Macaca mulatta: one gene and its partners. The protein of the gene in region 1 binds, or shares a complex with, the protein of each later gene. Links are inferred from orthologs where the notes say so. Each region holds a gene or a part of one and is shown on either strand. Other genes may lie near its edges.

Region 1 (6,086 bases):
AAATAGAAAAAGTGAATTCTTCCCAACAGAAAGTAATCTCTGCTCTTAACCTCTACCACACCTTGTGTCTCCACTTTATGTATTACAGTATAGAGGAGGTGTGTGTTAAGTTGGAGCTTAGTCAACATTGTCAGCCACATGTAGTCAAAAATTGCCTTTGAAAATCCTTTAAATTGCTTGAACAGTACAGTTCTCTTTACATTGAACTTGGCCAGTTTTTCCTTCCAACATTGGAACAGATCTCTGTTCTATTGAATGCTAGTTGAAAAAGCTGACTTACAGGTGTTATATGAAATAAAAAAGAACAATAAAGCCCTAAAAATAGTACAAATCTGGATATATGTGATTGGCTCCAGCCTGTTCTTAGCCCTGCTTCAATGGAAACAAGCTAAGGTTCTTATCTTGTGTAGTTGGGGAGTATGAGATGGATGGATGATAGAGGGATTGGTTTGTGAACTGACTTGTCATCATTTGCGACTTTTAAAATTCAGTGTACATTTTGCGTGTAATAATTGGCCTGTTTCTAATTAAATAAATCATCTAACAAAACAAATGTTTTCCCCCATACTATCTAGAAGAGGCTACTTTTCATTAACTTCACAGTAGCTTCACCTTGCAATTTAAACAATTGAATATTTGGACCCTACTTAATGCATTGCAGTGGACTTTTACCTGACTGTAACCAGAACTGTCTGGTTACAGTTCACACTATGTATATATAGTTCACACTATGAGGGCCAGGCTGAAACTAACACCTACTAAGAGAATGGCAGAATTAAGTCTTTCCACCTTTACACTCTCCGATGTGCACTTAGTATATAGGAATGGTAGGCAAAATCACCAGATCTTTTGAAATATTTTGTTCTTGTTCTCTGCCTTTTTCTTGCCGAGTAAATTGAATTGGTTTGTATAAATGAAATGTGATGTAAGAAAGACTAGCTGAGGCCAGGTGCAGTGGCTCATGCCTGTAATCCCAACACTTTGGGAGGCTGAGGTGGGCGGATCACGAAGTTAGGAGTTCGAGACCAGCCTGGCCAACATAATGAATCCCCAACTCTACCAAAAATACAAAAATTAGGCGGGCGTGGTGGTGCACACCTGTAATCCCAGCTACTCAGGAGTCTGAGGCAGGAGAATTGCTTGAACCTGGGAGGCGGAGGTTGCAGTGAGCTGAGATCACTCCATTACACTCCAGCCTGGGCAACAGAGATTCCATCTCAAAAAAAAAAAAAGAAAGACTGGTTGAATAAATGATGCACCATCCATACAATGGAATACTACTACAACTGTTACCAAGGAAAAACAAGCAAAATTCGGTTTATAACGTGATGCATCTGAGTTTTGTTTTGAAGAAATATACATATGTACATGTGTATTTATGCAAATATACATATATCCTTCAAAACAAAATTATGTGTGTATTTGTGCATGTATAAAATATTTCTGGAAGAATATGTAATAATTTGGTAATAGCAGTTGCCTGTGGGGAAAGGAACCAGGAGTTGATAGGGGTGGAGGACTTAGCTGTTTCTACAAATGCTCTTTAGCATGGTTTGACTCCTACTACATCTGTATATTACCTTTCCGATGGAAAACATTTATATCTTCTTACCAATTAACTATTAATAGTTCATGGTAAATATTTATATGTCAGTGAGATTTTCATTTTAAATTACAGAAAATATATGTATACTGATAATGTGTGCTAGTGCTTGTTGGATTCTGCAGCAGCTAATGTATGTACCATCAATGATGTACCAATTTGTGCTTCACAGAGTTTCATCCATATGGGAGAATAGTCTCCAGATGACTACAATTTCTAGTTTTGTAGGAGCATGGCTTGGAGCACTTCCTATTCCGCTGGATTGGGAAAGACCATGGCAGGTTGGTTTCAGTTACTTAAAGCAACAAAATAAATGTTTGTACAATGATAGTAAAACTGATGAAGCAAACTAGTATGTGTATGTAAATTGTTCTGTTGTTCAATTAAGTAAGGATACCAATTCTATCAGTCATCGTAATCTGGGCAACTTAATAGGGACTGTCCCAGTGCCAAAGGCGTCTAGGTAGCCCTGGTTTTATCTTCTAGCACTGTTTTTTGCACATGTATAGATGAATAAACAAGCTTATTTTGTGATTGTATATAGGCAGTTTATTGTTTTTAAAAATAAACAGGTTCTCACTCTCTTGCCCAGGCTGGCCTCCAGTGCTTGGGCCTAAACGAGCCTCCTGCCTCAGCCTCCCAAGTGGCTGGGACTACAGGTGTGTGCCACTGAGCCCAGCCAGTATAGGAATTTTTAAAAATTAGGTTAATAGTTGCAGAAATGTCCTATTTTCAACTTTGGTATTTATTGCCCTTGTGGTCTTATATTCACATTTTCTGAACTTGATTGATGGCCAAATTGAATGTTCATCTTGAAATTTTTAGAAGCAGATAGCAAGGTAATTTTTGCAGCAGCGGCCTGTGTTATCAAGACAGCTCACAAACATCAAATTTTTCATCTTGTATCACCATAAGATAAAGCTGATATGCTAGGTAAAGCACTGTAAGGTAAGGGCTCTTTTTATACCCATTTTACAGATGAGGAAACTGACACCTAGAGGGTATGTAACATTCCCAAGGTCACTGAACTTACAGTGATGACTGTATCCTTATCTTAATATTAATGACCTTGTAGTATGCCATTATATAGTTACTTATAACTTATTTAACAAATACACTATTGATCATTTAGATTATTGCCAGTATTTTATGATAATAAACACTGCTGTGATAAAATCTTTGAATCTATAGCTTCATGAATTTTTATAATTATTTCCATAATTACTCCCAAAAAGAATTATGGTGTTAAAAAATAAATGTGCTTTCTTTTTCCAACATGAAGAGAATTTTTTTCTGATCACAAAGATAATGTATATTTATTTAGAAAATTTAAGCAATATTAGTAATTCTAAGGAAGAAAGTAAAAATTACTTTCCTCCCCAACCACCCAGAGGAAACCTCCATTTGCTTTTGGTGATAATTTTTGCAGCTGTCTCTCTCCATGCCTGTAACTATAATATTCATGTTATTTTTAATCTGCTTTTTCCCCTCAGCAGTATATTATGGAGCTCATTCTATGTCAATGAAAACTTACATATATGTAATATTCGATTATTTGTGTAAAATACTGTACCAGTTTTTAATTAAAGAACATTTAGGTTATTTCCTATTTCATTATTATTAATATTTTATCAAATATGGTTATCATATTAAACATACATCTTTGAATATTTGTCCAATTTTCTCTGTAGTGTAAAGTCCTAGGTAATGAATTGATGAAGTAAATCTTTGATACATACCTCATTTGCCAAATGTGGGATCCAGATTGTGTGCCTTGCACATAACTGCCTACCTTAACTCCATTCTTTGTGCTTTCAGTTAGATGTTGTGTCTCCCTGAAAGTCAAATTGTTCTTTCATGTTTAGTAAGTCTGGTAGGTTTGCCCTTGCCTGTTTTAACTCTTCATCACTGTATTAGAGAAATCCTTGGAGGTTTGGGGTGTGTATCATCACAGATACTCATCCCAAGTTTTTGGTGCTAGTAAAGGTTTCTTAAGTTGTTGACATCTTGTAGAAGTCATCCATACTTAATATCAATTCAACAGAGTGTCAGTGATTTCTAAATTGGAGGACAATCAAAATCATTGAAAAGTATACACAGAAAATTGTTTGAAAGTGGTTAGATTCCTTACTTTCAAGTAATGCAATTAAATCTAAATAGAAAATATTGATAAAGCACTATGGGACATCAGCTTTAATGAGTTGGTAAGATAATATATAATAAATGTATCATTTTGTATATAGACGCAATACTTTAGAGTGTAAAGGTTTGATATGTTACATGTAATTTAAGTCTTTTCTGTTTACAAGACAGTGCAGAAGTAGAAACTGAACTAAGGGGAATATGTATGCTTTATAAAATATGTGTTTAGGTTTGCTTAGAAAATATATATCTTAGTTATTTACAGTTCAATCACCCATTTTGGGATTGTTCAGACTTTTAGCTGATGACTCATTTTTCTGCCTCAGTGCTTGTTAACAATAAGGATGAACTAGATCCAAATTGATGGTATTACTTTTTAAATTAATATAAAGTTTCCATTTGAATTACCGACTTTTTAAAAAGATTTTCTAGCTAGCTGGAAATCTAATTTAATTTTAAAACTAATTTAAATACATAACGAGTGTTGGTTTCCATTTAGAGCGTTTCATTCAGCTGGAATATTACTGGCTGTGTAATTATCTTTACTACTGGATGGTTTTTAGAATATTCCAAGTTAATGACCCACACATTCACTGTAAACCTTTTAAATTATGAAATGTATTATTGAGGGAATGATAGAATTGATGTATAATTAAAAATCTTTTATTCGCATAGCACTCATCTGCCCCTTGCCCTTTTTGCAGTTATTTACTAATAAACTAAAGAAATGAGGTTTCTTTTTTTTTTTTTCACTTTTTATTTCCAGCAAACAAGGTTGCTTGTTTTTTGTTATTGTTATTTTTTAATAATTCTAACTCCACAGAACAGAATCTCCCAGAGAAGCAATAAATCAGATAAGGGAATATGGCATTTCCTAAAAGTGGAGATGTTGTTAGAGCAAAATTTCATGAGAAGACAATACAGTAATACACTTTATTATCTAAAATAGAACATGTATTAAGAAGAGATTCTTGTTCTGTGTTCCTTGTAGCCCAGTACAGATTTGATCTGTTTGTGGTAAAGCAAGCTTTTCTGGATTGTGTTCTGGTTTTATTTATATTCCAGTCAGCGAAACAGGAATGTCTGGTTAAGCAATTATACCTTTAAAAACGTACACATGCACACACACACAAAACCCCACAAAATCTACTACATGTTTTACTTCAGTTTTCTTTACTTTGAACTCAAATCATTGTATAACATTCGTGAGGCCAACCATAAGATTACAGTAATGTGGATTCTGTAATGAGCTGTTTCAAGCATATTTTTATGTTTAAAATAATTTCTTAAATGATTGGAAAGGCCCACTGAAAATATGTGATCTCAATGAAAAAGTTTTGTAACTTAATATAAATCTTACGTGATTTTAAATAATGGCAAGTGATGAAAAATTAGGCATCTTTATAGTTGGAGGAAGCTTTTCTTTTGTGGAAGGCAGCAAGGGGACGTGGTTAAAGAGAATATGGTAGGGTAGCTACCCATTATACTGTTGGTCATCTTTGTTGTTGTTTTAATATTTGAAAGTACCTTCTTGCCTCTCCCTTAATTATTTGCCTTAAAATCTCAGCAAGAAAACAAATATTTGAATTTCCCATAATCCAGATAGCCTTTTTCAACTTCTGGAGAAAGCTTATAGTTGCTGACAAAATAAATATTTGGACTACAGAAAACCTTTGTATTTTATAATTTGATTCTTTATCTGCTGTAACTAAATAGCTAATAAGTAAGTATTCGTTGTTATCACTGTATGCAAGGCATACGTTCTGTGTGAGTAAGTACAACAGACACTTAAATACACCCAGGACTGGAATTTAATTATTTAATAATTCAGATTTGGACTGCGATTTAGATTTAATATGCTGTAAATATTTCATAAAATATGTAGCTATGAGGTTTTTATCTGGAAAATGTCTTATCAAAACATGGCTAGTATTTCATGTTTTAAAAAAATTAGTGGAAGGTTAACAAATATTGTTAGTTATTCTGAGCACAGGAAATTGACCATGAGGTTTTTAAACTCACGTGTTTTATTAATGGGTAGGCAGGTAACATGATGATTAGGAGTTCTGGCATCAGATTACTGGGTTGAAATCCTGGCTCTGTCACTTGCTAGTGAGGATGAAATAATAAAATCCCTCCAAAATATCTAGCTCAGCACCTGACATGTGGTTATTACTTAATTAATGTTACAGGCATTTGTGAGCCTGTAACATTAGAAAAGAAATAGTTTAGTGACTATAAAGAAATAGTTTAATGACTATATTTTTAGCCTTCAATAGTGCAAATTCCATTATTTATTTGAGTTCTCATCTATTAGAGAATATGCTAATTGTCTCAGTTT
Region 2 (6,186 bases), on another chromosome or scaffold:
CTCTACCAGCCGCTTTCAATATCACCACCAACCCTACCAGCTCCTCTCAAGCAACATCCTTACCTCAAGTCTCATTATACCATGATCCAGAAAGTCAAACCCTTCCTTTCTGCTACTCTACTCCCAACCCTTCGTGGTGTAATCATACCCAAGCTCCCAGCGGGACCCAGATGGCTCCTGTTGGCGGCTACTTCTGGTGTGACCAAACTTTATCTAAAACTCTTTTATTTTTTATTTTTTATTTTTTTTGAGACGGAGTCTCGCTCTGTCGCCCAGGCTGGAGTACAGTGGCCGGATCTCAGCTCACTGCAAGCTCCGCCTCCCGGGTTTAGCCATTCTCCTGCCTCAGCCTCCCGAGTAGCTGGGACTACAGGCGCCCGCCACTTCGCCCGGCCAGTTTTTTGTATTTTTTAGTAGAGAGGGGTTTCACCGTGTTAGCCAGGATGGTCTCGATCTCCTGACCTCGTGATTCGCCTGTCTCGGCCTCCCAAAGTGCTGGGATTACAGGCTTGAGCCACCGCGCCTGGCCTTATCTAAAACTCTTAACCACACCTCCATCACCCAATCCCTTTGTGTTCCGGTGTCTTTAGTGCCTACTTTAACCCTATATGGCGAAGGAGAATTGTCCGAGCTAGCTTCCCAGCTTACCACTTCCAGCAATAAAATCCAAAAACGGGCCATTTTTCTTCCCTTAGTTATCGGGGTTTCCCTAGCATCGTCCCTAGTAGCCTCAGGACTTGGAACAGGGGCCCTCACCCACTCGATTCAATCCACACAGACCCTCTCCACTCAGGTCCAAGCAGCCATAGAGGCTTCAGCTGAAAGCCTAGCCTCTTTACAACGTCAAATCACCTCAGTAGCCCAGGTAGCAGCACAAAATAGGCGGGCATTAGATCTTCTTACTGGTGAAAAAGGAGGAGCATGCCTCTCCCTAGGAGAGGAGTGTTGCTACTACATAAATGGATTAGGCCTGGTTGACACCAACGTCCAAACGTTAAACAAAATCAAAAAGGAGCTTCAACAATTTAATGCCCCCTTAAATTGTTGGTATCACTGCTGCCTGTAGTACAGCAGATGCTTCCATTCCTAATTCCCATACTAATCCTCTGTCTTATGTTATGCTTTGCTCCCATTCTAATAAAATTTCTCCGAGCTAGGGTCCAAGAAATCACCCAGTCACCTTCAACCAAATGCTCCTGCATCCCTACACCCAACTGCCAACCTCAGACCCTAACTACGCCCCTTAACAGCAGGAAGCAGCCAGACTGACAATGGCGCCCCAAATTCCTACAATTAATAAGAGGTTAGACTGTTTGGGTGAGGGAGAAGGGACCAAAATGGAGGAAGGTGAACAACATGGCACAGTCCCGATTGCTTCCGTGTTGTTCATCACCAACTTTCCCGCGCCCAGAAAGTGCAGGGCAACGGAGCGTCGGCCAGGTGACCTCAATCCGAAGAAATCAAACTTACCCGCCCACGCCTACTGAGACGCCCCTATCACGCCCTTATCCCGCCCACTGCCCTCCCCCTTCCAGTATCAATGCATAAAAGTTCCCCAGCAGAGGCCGGTGGGCTTCTCTGGCCCCATACCTGAGGACTGGAGAACCTACCCCAAGAGTGTGTGCATATTTGCAATAAAAGGCTGCTGCTTTCTTATGTACTTTGGCCTGTTTAATTATTTAGCTCTCCTAAATTAAATTAAGACAACAATATATATTTATCTGAACATCAAATCGTGCCCATAAATATGTGCCTTTACAATGTGTCCATTAAAAAATAAAATTTTCAAATAAACTTTTTTTTTTTTTTTGTGAGGCGGAGTCTCGCTCTGTCGCCCAGGCTGGAGTGCAGTGGCCCGATCTGGGCTCACTGCAAGCTCCACCTCCTGGGTTCACGCCATTCTCCCGCCTCAGCCTCCTGAGTAGCTGGGACTACAGGCGCCCGCCACCGCGCCCGGCTAATTTTTTGTAGTTTCACCATGTTAGCCAGGAAGGTCTCCATCTCTTGACCTCGTGAATCCGCCCGCATCGGCCTCCCAAGGTGCTGGGATTACAGGCGTGAGCCACTGAGCCCGGCTTTCCAAATTGAAAAAATTCTAAAACCTTGTACCTCGCAGTGGGCTGCGCCCACCGCGGACTCGCAGGGAAGGCCGCCGCAGAGAGCCTGGATCACCGCCCGCCGGGCGTATTTCCAGCGTGACGCCGCTTTGGCGCGCCGGCGAAAGTGACGCGCCACTGTGGCCCGCCGGCGGACGTGACGCCACTGTGGCTGCGACGGTAAGGCCTGGCGTTCTTGCTTAGAGACGGCTACCTGGAGCCGGAAGCGCGGGTGCAGCAGGGCGAAGCTCCAGGTGGGGTCGGTTCCGCATCCTGCCTGGCGTGTCCACGATGCGGCTGGGCTCCGGGACTTTCGCTACCTGTTGCGTAGCGATCGAGGTGCTAGGGATCGCAGTCTTCCTTCGGGGATTCTTTCCGGCTCCCGTTCGTTCCTCTGCGAGGGCGGTACACGGAGCAGAGCCCCCAGCGCCCGAACCCTCGGCTGGTACGGACCCCTCCCCAGCATCTCCGCTCCCCTGACCCCACATCCCCTAGAAGACCCTTTTTCTGAGCGTCACTGCTCGGATTTCTTCTCGGCGCTCCCCGGTGGTCTCCCGTTATGGTCCCCACCCCAGAATTTTTTTTTTTTTAACCGCTCCAGCGTCTCTTTTCTGTATTCTTACAACTTTGTGGCAACCACCTCTACTGGCCCCACTTCGACCTTCCTTCCTGATCACCACAAAGTAAGCTGTGTCCATACCTGGGATCCGGCCTCTCCAGCTCTACTCGTCCAGAGCCCCCGCCCCTCTCCTGAGGAGCCTTTGGGTCACTGCCTGTTCCAGGCGCCCTTTTTGCCCCCTAGCACACTACAGATAAGACCCCTGCCGATCCCTTCGCGTTTGGGTCTCTTACGTTCCTCCAAGGTGTTTTCCCTGCCTAGTGGCTAAGGCCTTTCTGCGTTAGGCCCCTTCCTAGTCTTCATCTACCCAGCCATATACAGCAAGTAAAGGAGCCCTGGTTCTGGACCACGTGCACACACCAGCCGCTGACCGCGAAACGCAGTATATAAACACCCAGCCATCCCATTCTTGCAGCTCTGGGTTTTAGGTCAAGCTCCCTAAATGTCCCATCCCAGGACGCTTACGTAGGGATTCCCCTGCCCTGGTACTCCTCACTATACTAAGGATAATTAACTGCTTACTACTGTGGGTCCCTGAGATTACTCCTATTAACCCCCGTCCATTCCCGGCAGCACTACCTACCAAGTAGAAGTCTCCTCCTTTTGGGTTGGGTTATATAGATATGGCAGGATATGTGCTGGAGAAGTAGGTAGAAGCTAGATTGTGGAGGTGCTTGAATGCTTAGGAAAGTTCAAAGTTCAATTTCCTTTTTTTCTTTCAAACACTTAGGAGCCAGTTCTAACTGGACCACGCTGCCATCACCTCTCTTCAGTAAAGTTGTTATTGTTCTGATAGATGCCTTGAGAGATGATTTTGTGTTTGGATCAAAGGGTGTGAAATTTATGCCCTACACAACTTATCTTGTGGAAAAAGGAGCATCTCACAGTTTTGTGGCTGAAGCAAAGCCACCTACAGTTACTATGCCTCGAATCAAGGTAAGTTGGCCTTAATGTTTTAATGAATCATGGTTTGGCTCTTTTGAAGATTTAAAGGGGGCCTCTGTAGTCTTTCGCTTGGAGTTGCAATTTTAAGAAAGTGGAAATTTTGTGCTATCAGTTGGCTGGGGCAATAGAACGCTGAGGGAGCCTCACACAGGACGGAACTGAGACCCATGATTTGTGCCTCTTGTCAAGTAGCCAAAACTCATGCTTCACGGGAAGTATAAAAGATTTATAGGCCGGGCCTGGTGGCTCAAGCCTGTAATCCCAGCACTTTGGGAGGCCGAGACGGGCGGATCATGAGGTCAGGAGATCGAGACCATCCTGGCTGACACGGTGAAACCCCGTCTCTACTAAAAAATACAAAAAACTAGCCGGGCAAGGTGGCGGGCGCCTGTAGTCCCAGATACTCGGGAGGCTGAGGCAGGAGAATGGCGTGAACCCGGGAGGCGGAGCTTGCAGTGAGCCGAGATCTGGCCACTGCACTCCAGCCTGGGCGGCAGAGCGAGACTCCGTCTCAAAAAAAAAAAAAAAGATTTACAGCAAGATCACCCAGGCTAACCTACCCCAAGATATACCATTCTTGGTAACCTGCTTTCTTCTTTAATCGCCATTGGGTCATTTGTAATCTTAGAAGGAGCCTTTAGAGCTGATCTAGTTCAGTCTCTAGATCTTATAGATAGGAAAGCAAACCCAGATAAGTTAAATGTGACTTCTCCAAAAGTATCCAACAGTATACATAATGATCCAATTAGTATGATCTGCCTCAACAATTACCACTGTTTCCACCATATCCTTCAGGTGTCCAGCCTACTGACAGCAGCTTTGAAGTACATAGTGCATTTCCCAAGAACCATGGGTAAAGAAAAAAAGTAAGCCTTTATTGATTGGCTCGAAAACTTTTGAGCAACTACTATGTGGTGATATTTTAATGGGTATACAATCGGGGAGAAAATAGTATCTCTGCCTTCATGTAGCTTTTAGTCTTTAGATATACAGTCACTCAACAAAGGAGCATATGAAAACATGCAGTTGGGCCGGGCGCGGTGGCTCACGCCTGTAATCCCAGCACTTTGGGAGGCCGAGGCGGGTGGATCACGAGGTCAGAAGATCGAGACCATCCTGGCTAACACGGTGAAACCCCGTCTCTACTAAAAATACAAAAGAATTAGCTGGGCGAGGTGGCGGGCGCCTGTAGTCCCAGCTACTCAGGAGGCTGAGGCAGGAGAATGGCGTGAACCCGGGAGGCGGAGCTTGCATTGAGCCGAGGTTGCGCCACTACACTCCAGCCTTGGCGATGAGCAAGACTCCATCTCAAAAAAAAAAAAAGAGGCCGCGCGCGGTGGCTCAAGCCTGTAATCCCAGCACTTTGGGAGGCCGAGACGGGCGGATCACGAGGTCAGGAGATCGAGACCATCCTGGCTAACACGGTGAAACCCCGTCTCTACTAAAAAAAAAAAAAAAAAAAAAAAAAACTAGCCGGGCGAGGTGGCGGGCGCCTGTAGTCCCAGCTACTCAGGAGGCTGAGGCAGGAGAATGGCGTGAACCCGGGAGGCGGAGCTTGCAGTGAGCTGAGATCCGGCCACTGCACTCCAGCCTGGGCGACAGAGCGAGACTCCGTCTCAAAAAAGAAAGAAAGAAAACATGCAGTTGTAAAGTGTGGTTAGTGCATGATGGGAAGGAACAGGATGTGATTAGTGGGTGAGAAATCCCGGCTGAGGAAATTGCATTTAAACTGAGAGTGGAAGGATGAATAAAGTTGGGGACAGAAAGGAGCAGAGGGGTTGAATTGTGTTTGTGAGTGTATTGCGTGTGAGTGTGGCATAAAGTCTCTGACGGAGCCTTTGCTGTGTGATTGATGGGGTGACAGCTTGTTACTTGGTGAGAAGGAGCTGCTTACTGATTGAAGGCTTGGGGGCAGCCCGGGTTGTCGATGCTCAGCGAATGTTCGCTGGATGAAAGCAGTCTGAGACTGGAGGAAGCACAGTGCCATATCGCTCACTGACTTTTTCCTTGAATGTTTTACTCTCTCTGCCACATTTCAATGTGATGTGACCTTCATTCAGCAATATTTATTGAGCATGTACTATGTGACATGCTGTTCTAGACAGGAGGGATGCAGTGAAGAACAAGACAGCATTGTCCTCATGGAGCCTACTTTCTATTTTTTTTTTTTTTTGAGACGGAGTCTCGCTCTGTCGCCCAGGCTGGAGTGCAGTAGCTGGATCTCAACTTACTGCAAGCTCCGCCTCCCGGGTTCCCGCCATTCTCCTGCCTCTGCCTCCAGAGTAGCTGGGACTACAGGCGCCACCACCGCGCCCAGCTAATTTTTTGTATTTTTAGTAGAGACGGGGTTTCACCGTGTTAGCCAGGATGGTCTTGATCTCCTGACCTTGTGATCCGCCTGCCTCGGCCTCCCAAAGTGCTGGGATTACAGGCGTGAGCCACCGCGCCCGGCCATGGAGCCTACTTTCTAATTGGAGGAATAGAAAATCGGTAAAATATGAATCAATGAAGATCGTTTCAGACAGT
Region 3 (6,186 bases), on another chromosome or scaffold:
GCCTCCCAAAGTGCTGGGATTATAGGCATGAGCCACTGTGCCTGGCTGGCCTTTTAAGACAGGGCCTCACTCTGGTGCCCAGACTGGAGTACAGTGGCCTGATCAAGGCTCACTGTAGTCTCTACCTCCCAGATTAAGCCATCATCCATCTCAGCCTCTGGTGTAGCTGGAACTACAGGCTCCTGCCACCATGTCCACCTAAATTTTGTATTTTTTTATAGAGATGGTATTTCACTACTTTGGCCTGACTGGTCCTGAACTGCTGGACTCAGGGGATCTACCTGCTTTGGCCTCCCAAAGTGCTGGGAGTCCGTTTTGTTTTTTAATAGTGGGTTTATTGAAATATTCACACATCAGGCTGGGCATGGTGGCTCATGCCTGTAATCCCAGCACTTTGGGAGGCTGAGTCTGGAAGGTTGAGCCCAGGAGTTCGAGATATAACTCACACATCATACAACTCATTCATTTAAAATATAAACGTAGTAACCTTTAGTATATTCACAGAATTGTGCTACCACCATGATTTTAATTTTAGACTGCTTCACAGCCCCCCTCCACAATATTCCATTGTATGAATACACCATTTTTTATTTTTCCATTTGTCAGTAATGGACATTTGGGTTTCCACCTTTTGGTTATTATAAGGCTACTATTTTATTTATTTATTTTTTGAGACAGGGTCTCACTCTGTCACCCAGGTTGGAGTGCAGTGGTGAGATCACAGCTCGCTGCAGCCTTGACCTCCCCAGGCTCAGGTGATCCTCCCACCTCAGCCTCCTGAGTAGCTGGTACTACAGGCACATGCCAGCACACCTGGGTAAATTTTGTGCTGGGATAACAGGTGTGAGCCATTTACCCAGCCACGAATAAGGCTACTATGAACATTCATGTACAAGTTTTTGTTTGGACATAAGTATTAATTCCTCTTGGGTTTATACCTAGGACTGAAATTGTTAGGTCATTTGATAATTATGTTTATCGTTTTGAATTATCTGTTTTTACAATCCACCAGCAGTGTATGAGGGTTCCAATTCCTCCTTCTCATTGTCAACACTTGTTGATTATAGCCATACTGGTGGGTTCAAAGCAGTATCTCCAGCATTTCCTGATGGCTTATAATAAGCCTCTCTCCATGTGTCTATTGGCTATTTGTATATTTTCTTTGGAGAAATGTCTAGTCAAATCCTTTGCCCATTAATTGGATTGTTTTTCCCTCCTCCACTCATTTTTTTTTTTTTTTTTTTTTTTTGAGACAAGGTCTCACTTTGTCGCTGAGGCTGGAATGCAGTGGTGCAATCTCCGCTCACTGCAACCTCTGCCTCCCGGGGTCGAGTGATTCTCCTGCCTCAGCCTCCCAGGTAGCTGGGATCACAGGCGCCTGCCACCACGCCCGGGTAACTTTTGTATTTTCAGTAGAGACGGTGTTTCGTCATGTTGGTTGGGCTGGTCTCGAACTCCTGACCTTAGGTGATCCACCTGCCTTGGCCTTCCAAATTGCTGGGATTACAGGTGTAAGCCACTGGCGCCCAGCCTCCCCTCCTCCACTCCGAAGGATTATTTGCTTAATTATCCAGTTGTAAGATTCAGAGGCTTTGAGAGGAGAATGAAATCTCAGTTGGACTTAGCTAAGCAAAAAGGGAAAAATAAGTATTATCTCCATTTTACAGATGAGGTAATGCCTAATAATGACAATATGTGCGGCCGAGCTAGGATTCAAGTCAAGTTTGACTCCAGCAGCCGTGCTCTTAGTCGTAACCATGAATGGACAGTGGTTCCGTGAACTCTCCGGCTTGGTCCCCTGTTCCCAATTTTCAATTATTAAATCTCCCATCAAACTCTCTGGCCAGCCCCACGCTCCTGGCCAAACTTCCACCGAGATGCCGGCAGATGGCGATGGAGCCACTGGCGGGCCTCTCTGGCGCGCGCTTCTCTGTGGTGCCAGGCCGCAGGCACCGCCGCCGCCGGACTTCCGGGTGCCATTGCAGGTGAGCCAGGGTCTGCCGAGAACCTCAACCCCACGTAGTCCCCTCACCCTGAAACAAGGGAGTCTTCCTCTTTCCCTTAGCTCCCAACCAAGGGTGGTCAGTACCGCGGCTAGGGTGCCCAGCGGGAGGCTGGGTAGCTACCGGAGGAGGCAGAGCCGGTCGCACGCCTGGGTTCCAGCGAGGCCCAACCGACTCTCGACCCGCGCCCCAGCCTCGTTGCGTGGCGAAGGTCATGCTTCAGGTCTCCTGGCGAACCTAGCCTCCCGGAAGCGGAGCGTGACTCCTCCCCTTCGTCCCCTCGGTGCCCGCCAGGCGGCGTCGTTGGCTGGGCCCGGGTTTCCCTGCGGCTTTGATCCCTTTCCACCCTAGTGGGTGTTGAGATTGGCGAGGGGAGAGGTGCAGAAACGGCCTGTAGGAGAGCCTGGCTACCAATTGGAATAACTTTCCCTCGTGACTGTGTTTTCAGCATTAGCATTTCCTGCGTGTACATGTGAACATTCCTATGCTCTACCCCTCGAAGATCCTGATTCAGTAGATCTGGGGTGGGGCCTCGAAATAGCTTTTTTATTTTTCTGAGACGGCGTCTCCCTCTGTTGTCCAGGCTAGAGTGCAGTGGCGCAGTCTCTGCTCACTGCAACCTCCGCCTCCCCGATTCAAACAATTGTCCTGCCTCAGCCTCCCCTATAGCTGGGACTACAGGTGCCCGCCACCAATTTTTGTATTTTTAGTAGGGACGGGGTTTCACCATGTTGGCCAGGCTGGTCTCGAACTCCTGACCTCAGGTGATCCGCCCGCCTCTGCCTCCCAAAGTGCTGGGATTACAGGCGTGAGCCACCATGCCCAGCCTGGAAATAGCGGGAGAGTAATATTGCGAGGGGTTGGCTATGGGACAGTTTATCTCCAGGAAAGTCTGGGAGGAAGTGATTCTAGCTGGGCTTGTATTCAGGGACTAGAATATCCACTGGTTCTTTGCCCCACAGTAATGAATTTCCTTCCCCACCCCTATCAGGATGCAGAAAGCCTCAGTGCTGCTCTTCCTGGCCTGGGTCTGCTTCGTCTTCTACGCTGGCATTGCCCTCTTCACCAGTGGCTTCCTGCTCACCCGTTTGGAGCTCACCAACTATAGCAGCTGCCAAGAGCCCCCAGGCCCTGGGTCCCTGCCATGGGGGAGCCAAGGGAAACCTGGGGCCTGCTGGATGGCTTCCCGATTTTCGCGGGTTGTGTTGGTGCTAGTAGATGCTCTGCGATTTGACTTCGCCCAGCCCCAGCACTCACATGTGCCTGGAGAGCCTCCTGTCTCCCTACCCTTCCTGGGCAAACTAAGCTCCTTGCAGAGGATCCTGGAGATTCAGCCCCACCATGCCCGGCTCTACCGATCTCAGGTTGACCCTCCTACCACCACCATGCAGCGCCTCAAGGCCCTCACCACTGGCTCACTGCCTACCTTTATTGATGCTGGTAGTAACTTTGCCAGCCACGCCATAGTGGAAGACAATCTCATTAAGCAGCTCACCAGTGCAGGTCAGTGTGGGCCACTTTGAAGGCCAGAAGTACCCTGGCAAATTTCTTCAAAATTCGAAGTCAGGGAGTCAGACCTTTGGGTGCCCAGATGCACACATGACTATGGTGTAGGGGAACAGAGGAGAAGAAAGAGGCCAGGGCCCTGCTTGTGGGGAGCTCAGTTTGGGGGACAGAGGAAAAGGGATCTGGGCTTTGGTCCTATGAAGCTTCTAATCTGAATGGAGTGCAAGTTTTATTCTTGGGGACCTCTCAGTAAAAGGGAGAAGGGAAGAAGAGAAGATGTGGATCTTGGCTTACAAGTGTGGAGAAGAAAGCAGAGAAATACAGGCCCTGTTCATTCATTGGCTTGGAAGAAGCAGGATACACCCAGGAAAAACAAATCAGTAGAGATACCCAGATACAGAACTAGCAGAGCATTTTGTAGGAAGGGTAAGTGTGAGGTCTGGGTGGAGTATGGTTATCAGGGAAAGCTTCCTGGTGGAAAATGTTAGGCCCTGAAGGATAAAGATTGCTGTATGGAATTGCTGTACTTCTTAGGTTACATGTTTGGAACTTCTGATGGGTCTTTCAAGGGCCTCTTTTCCTGTTTTCTCCTGACCCTGACGTTTGCTCAGGCTCTGACCTCTCTTTCATGTCCCTGCAGGAAGGCGTGTAGTCTTCATGGGAGATGATACCTGGAAAGACCTTTTCCCTGGTGCTTTCTCCAAAGCTTTCTTCTTCCCATCCTTCAATGTCAGAGACCTAGACACAGTGGACAATGGCATCCTGGAACAGCTCTACCCCACCAGTGAGCATGGGGCCAGAGCACGTAGTTCTAAGACTGGGAGCTGGGGAGGACTGCTTTAGTCCACAAATTCCGAGCCTCCAATGGGTGTAACAGCCTGGGCTTGTATCCCTGGACATAGAGGAGTGTCAAAGCCTGGCTGGGGTTGAGGAGTGGGTCTTAGTCTTCTGTGCTCATTGTTCTCCCCTTCACAGTGGACAGTGGTGAATGGGACGTGCTGATTGCTCACTTCCTGGGTGTGGACCACTGTGGCCACAAGCATGGCCCTCACCACCCTGAAATGGCCAAGAAACTTAGCCAGATGGACCAGGTCATCCAGTGAGTGTGGGGCATTGGCTGGGGGAGTGGGTTTGTATCTGAGAATCTCAGGATATGTGGTCCCAGGAGAAGAAGCTCTTAGAGCTTCTTTCCTGGCTGAATTCTGTCTTCTCTAGGCCTTCTGCTAAAGCTAGAGGCCCCATCCATCTTGATTAACTCAATGTGTAGCTTTGTGCATCAGGATCATGGCTGAAGACCTGTCTCTTTGCCAAAGGTCTAGGCCTTACTAATGGAGTTATAGCTGGGGATGAACAGGCCCCTGAGAAAAATCTTTTTTCTTTTTGAGGAAAATATTTATTTGTTTCTACTCCTGACACATTTCTTGGCCCCCAGGGGACTTGTGGAGCGTCTGGAGAATGACACACTGCTGGTAGTGGCTGGGGACCATGGGATGACCACAAATGGAGACCATGGAGGGGACAGTGAGCTGGAGGTCTCAGCTGCACTCTTTCTGTATAGCCCCACAGCACTCTTCCCCAGCACCCCACCAGAGGTGAGGCCTGGGATGTTCCTCATCTGTTCTCCCAGTAATCAGCCCATGTTACCATCACAGCATCCTCATGAATACCTCTATTATAGGCCCCCAAATCCATTATCCTGGGTATCCTCCACTCTCATTTCTTACCTAGGCCCCTATGTCTCCCATCCCAAACATTGACTTCAGCTTTATAATGAATCTGTCGACCACTGTCATTTCCCTTTAGGAGCCAGAGGTGATTCCTCAAGTTAGCCTTGTGCCCACACTGGCCCTGCTGCTGGGCCTGCCCATCCCATTTGGAAACATTGGGGAAGTGATGGCTGAGCTATTCTCAGGGGGTGAGGACTCCCAGCCCCACTCCTCTGCTTTAGCCCAAGCCTCAGCTCTCCATCTCAATGCTCAGCAGGTAGGTAAGTGGGCTGGGTGTCCAGGTGACAGAGCGAGGGTGGGCATGAAAGAAGCATAATGAACCACTCTATTGTCCTTTGACTAGTCTTAGTCCCACCTTCCATACCTATCCCTCTTCTATTATCCCTCCCTTCCCCCATCCTGGGCAAAGTTTGGGTCTTTGACTTCCACGTACCCCCTTTTGTAATACCTGTTCTTGCCTCTGCCCCAATTTATGTCTCTGACCTGTTCCCCTTGGCCTCTGACCTTTTCTCTGCTAGGTGTCTCGATTTCTTCGTACCTACTCCGCTGCTACTCAGGACCTTCAAGCTAAGGAGCTTCATCAGCTGCAGAACCTCTTCTCCAAGGCCTCTGCTGACTACCAGTGGCTTCTGCAGAGCCCCAACGGGGCTGAGGCGACACTGCCGACTGTGATTGCTGAGCTGCAGCAGTTCCTGCGGGGAGCTCGGGCCATGTGCATCGAGTCTTGGGCTCGTTTCTCTCTGGTCCGCATGGCGGGGGGTGCTGCTCTCTTGGTTGCTGCCTGCTTTATCTGCCTGCTGGCATCTCAGTGGGCAATATCCCCAGACTTTCCATTCCGCCCTCTACTTCTGATACCCGTGGCCTGGGGCCTTGTTGGGACCATAGCGTATGCTGGACTCCTGGGAATTATTGAGCTGAAGCTAGATCTAGTGCTTCTAGGGGCTGTGGCT

Evidence for each region.
Region 2: PIGF (region 1) and PIGG share a complex: the UniProt entries of both Homo sapiens proteins name them as parts of the ethanolamine phosphate transferase 2 complex. The link is inferred for Macaca mulatta from reciprocal best matches to the Homo sapiens genes PIGF and PIGG.
Region 3: PIGF (region 1) and PIGO share a complex: the UniProt entries of both Homo sapiens proteins name them as parts of the ethanolamine phosphate transferase 3 complex. The link is inferred for Macaca mulatta from reciprocal best matches to the Homo sapiens genes PIGF and PIGO.

Annotation. Positions count from the first base shown.
Region 1 is NC_133418.1:78,241,850-78,247,935, forward strand, and holds part of PIGF (GPI ethanolamine phosphate transferase, stabilizing subunit), read left to right. Parts: intron 1-1,775; coding exon 1,776-1,884; intron 1,885-6,086.
Region 2 is NC_133410.1:563,033-569,218, forward strand, and holds the start of PIGG (GPI ethanolamine phosphate transferase 2, catalytic subunit), read left to right. Parts: upstream 1-2,261; 5' UTR 2,262-2,387; coding exon 2,388-2,541; exon of another isoform or gene 2,542-2,779; intron 2,780-3,445; coding exon 3,446-3,651; intron 3,652-4,455; exon of another isoform or gene 4,456-4,526; intron 4,527-6,186.
Region 3 is NC_133420.1:64,629,847-64,636,032, forward strand, and holds the start of PIGO (GPI ethanolamine phosphate transferase 3, catalytic subunit), read left to right. Parts: upstream 1-1,940; 5' UTR 1,941-2,396; intron 2,397-2,586; exon of another isoform or gene 2,587-2,684; intron 2,685-2,994; 5' UTR 2,995-2,995; coding exon 2,996-3,506; intron 3,507-4,149; coding exon 4,150-4,293; intron 4,294-4,484; coding exon 4,485-4,608; intron 4,609-4,941; coding exon 4,942-5,101; intron 5,102-5,312; coding exon 5,313-5,492; intron 5,493-5,754; coding exon 5,755-6,186.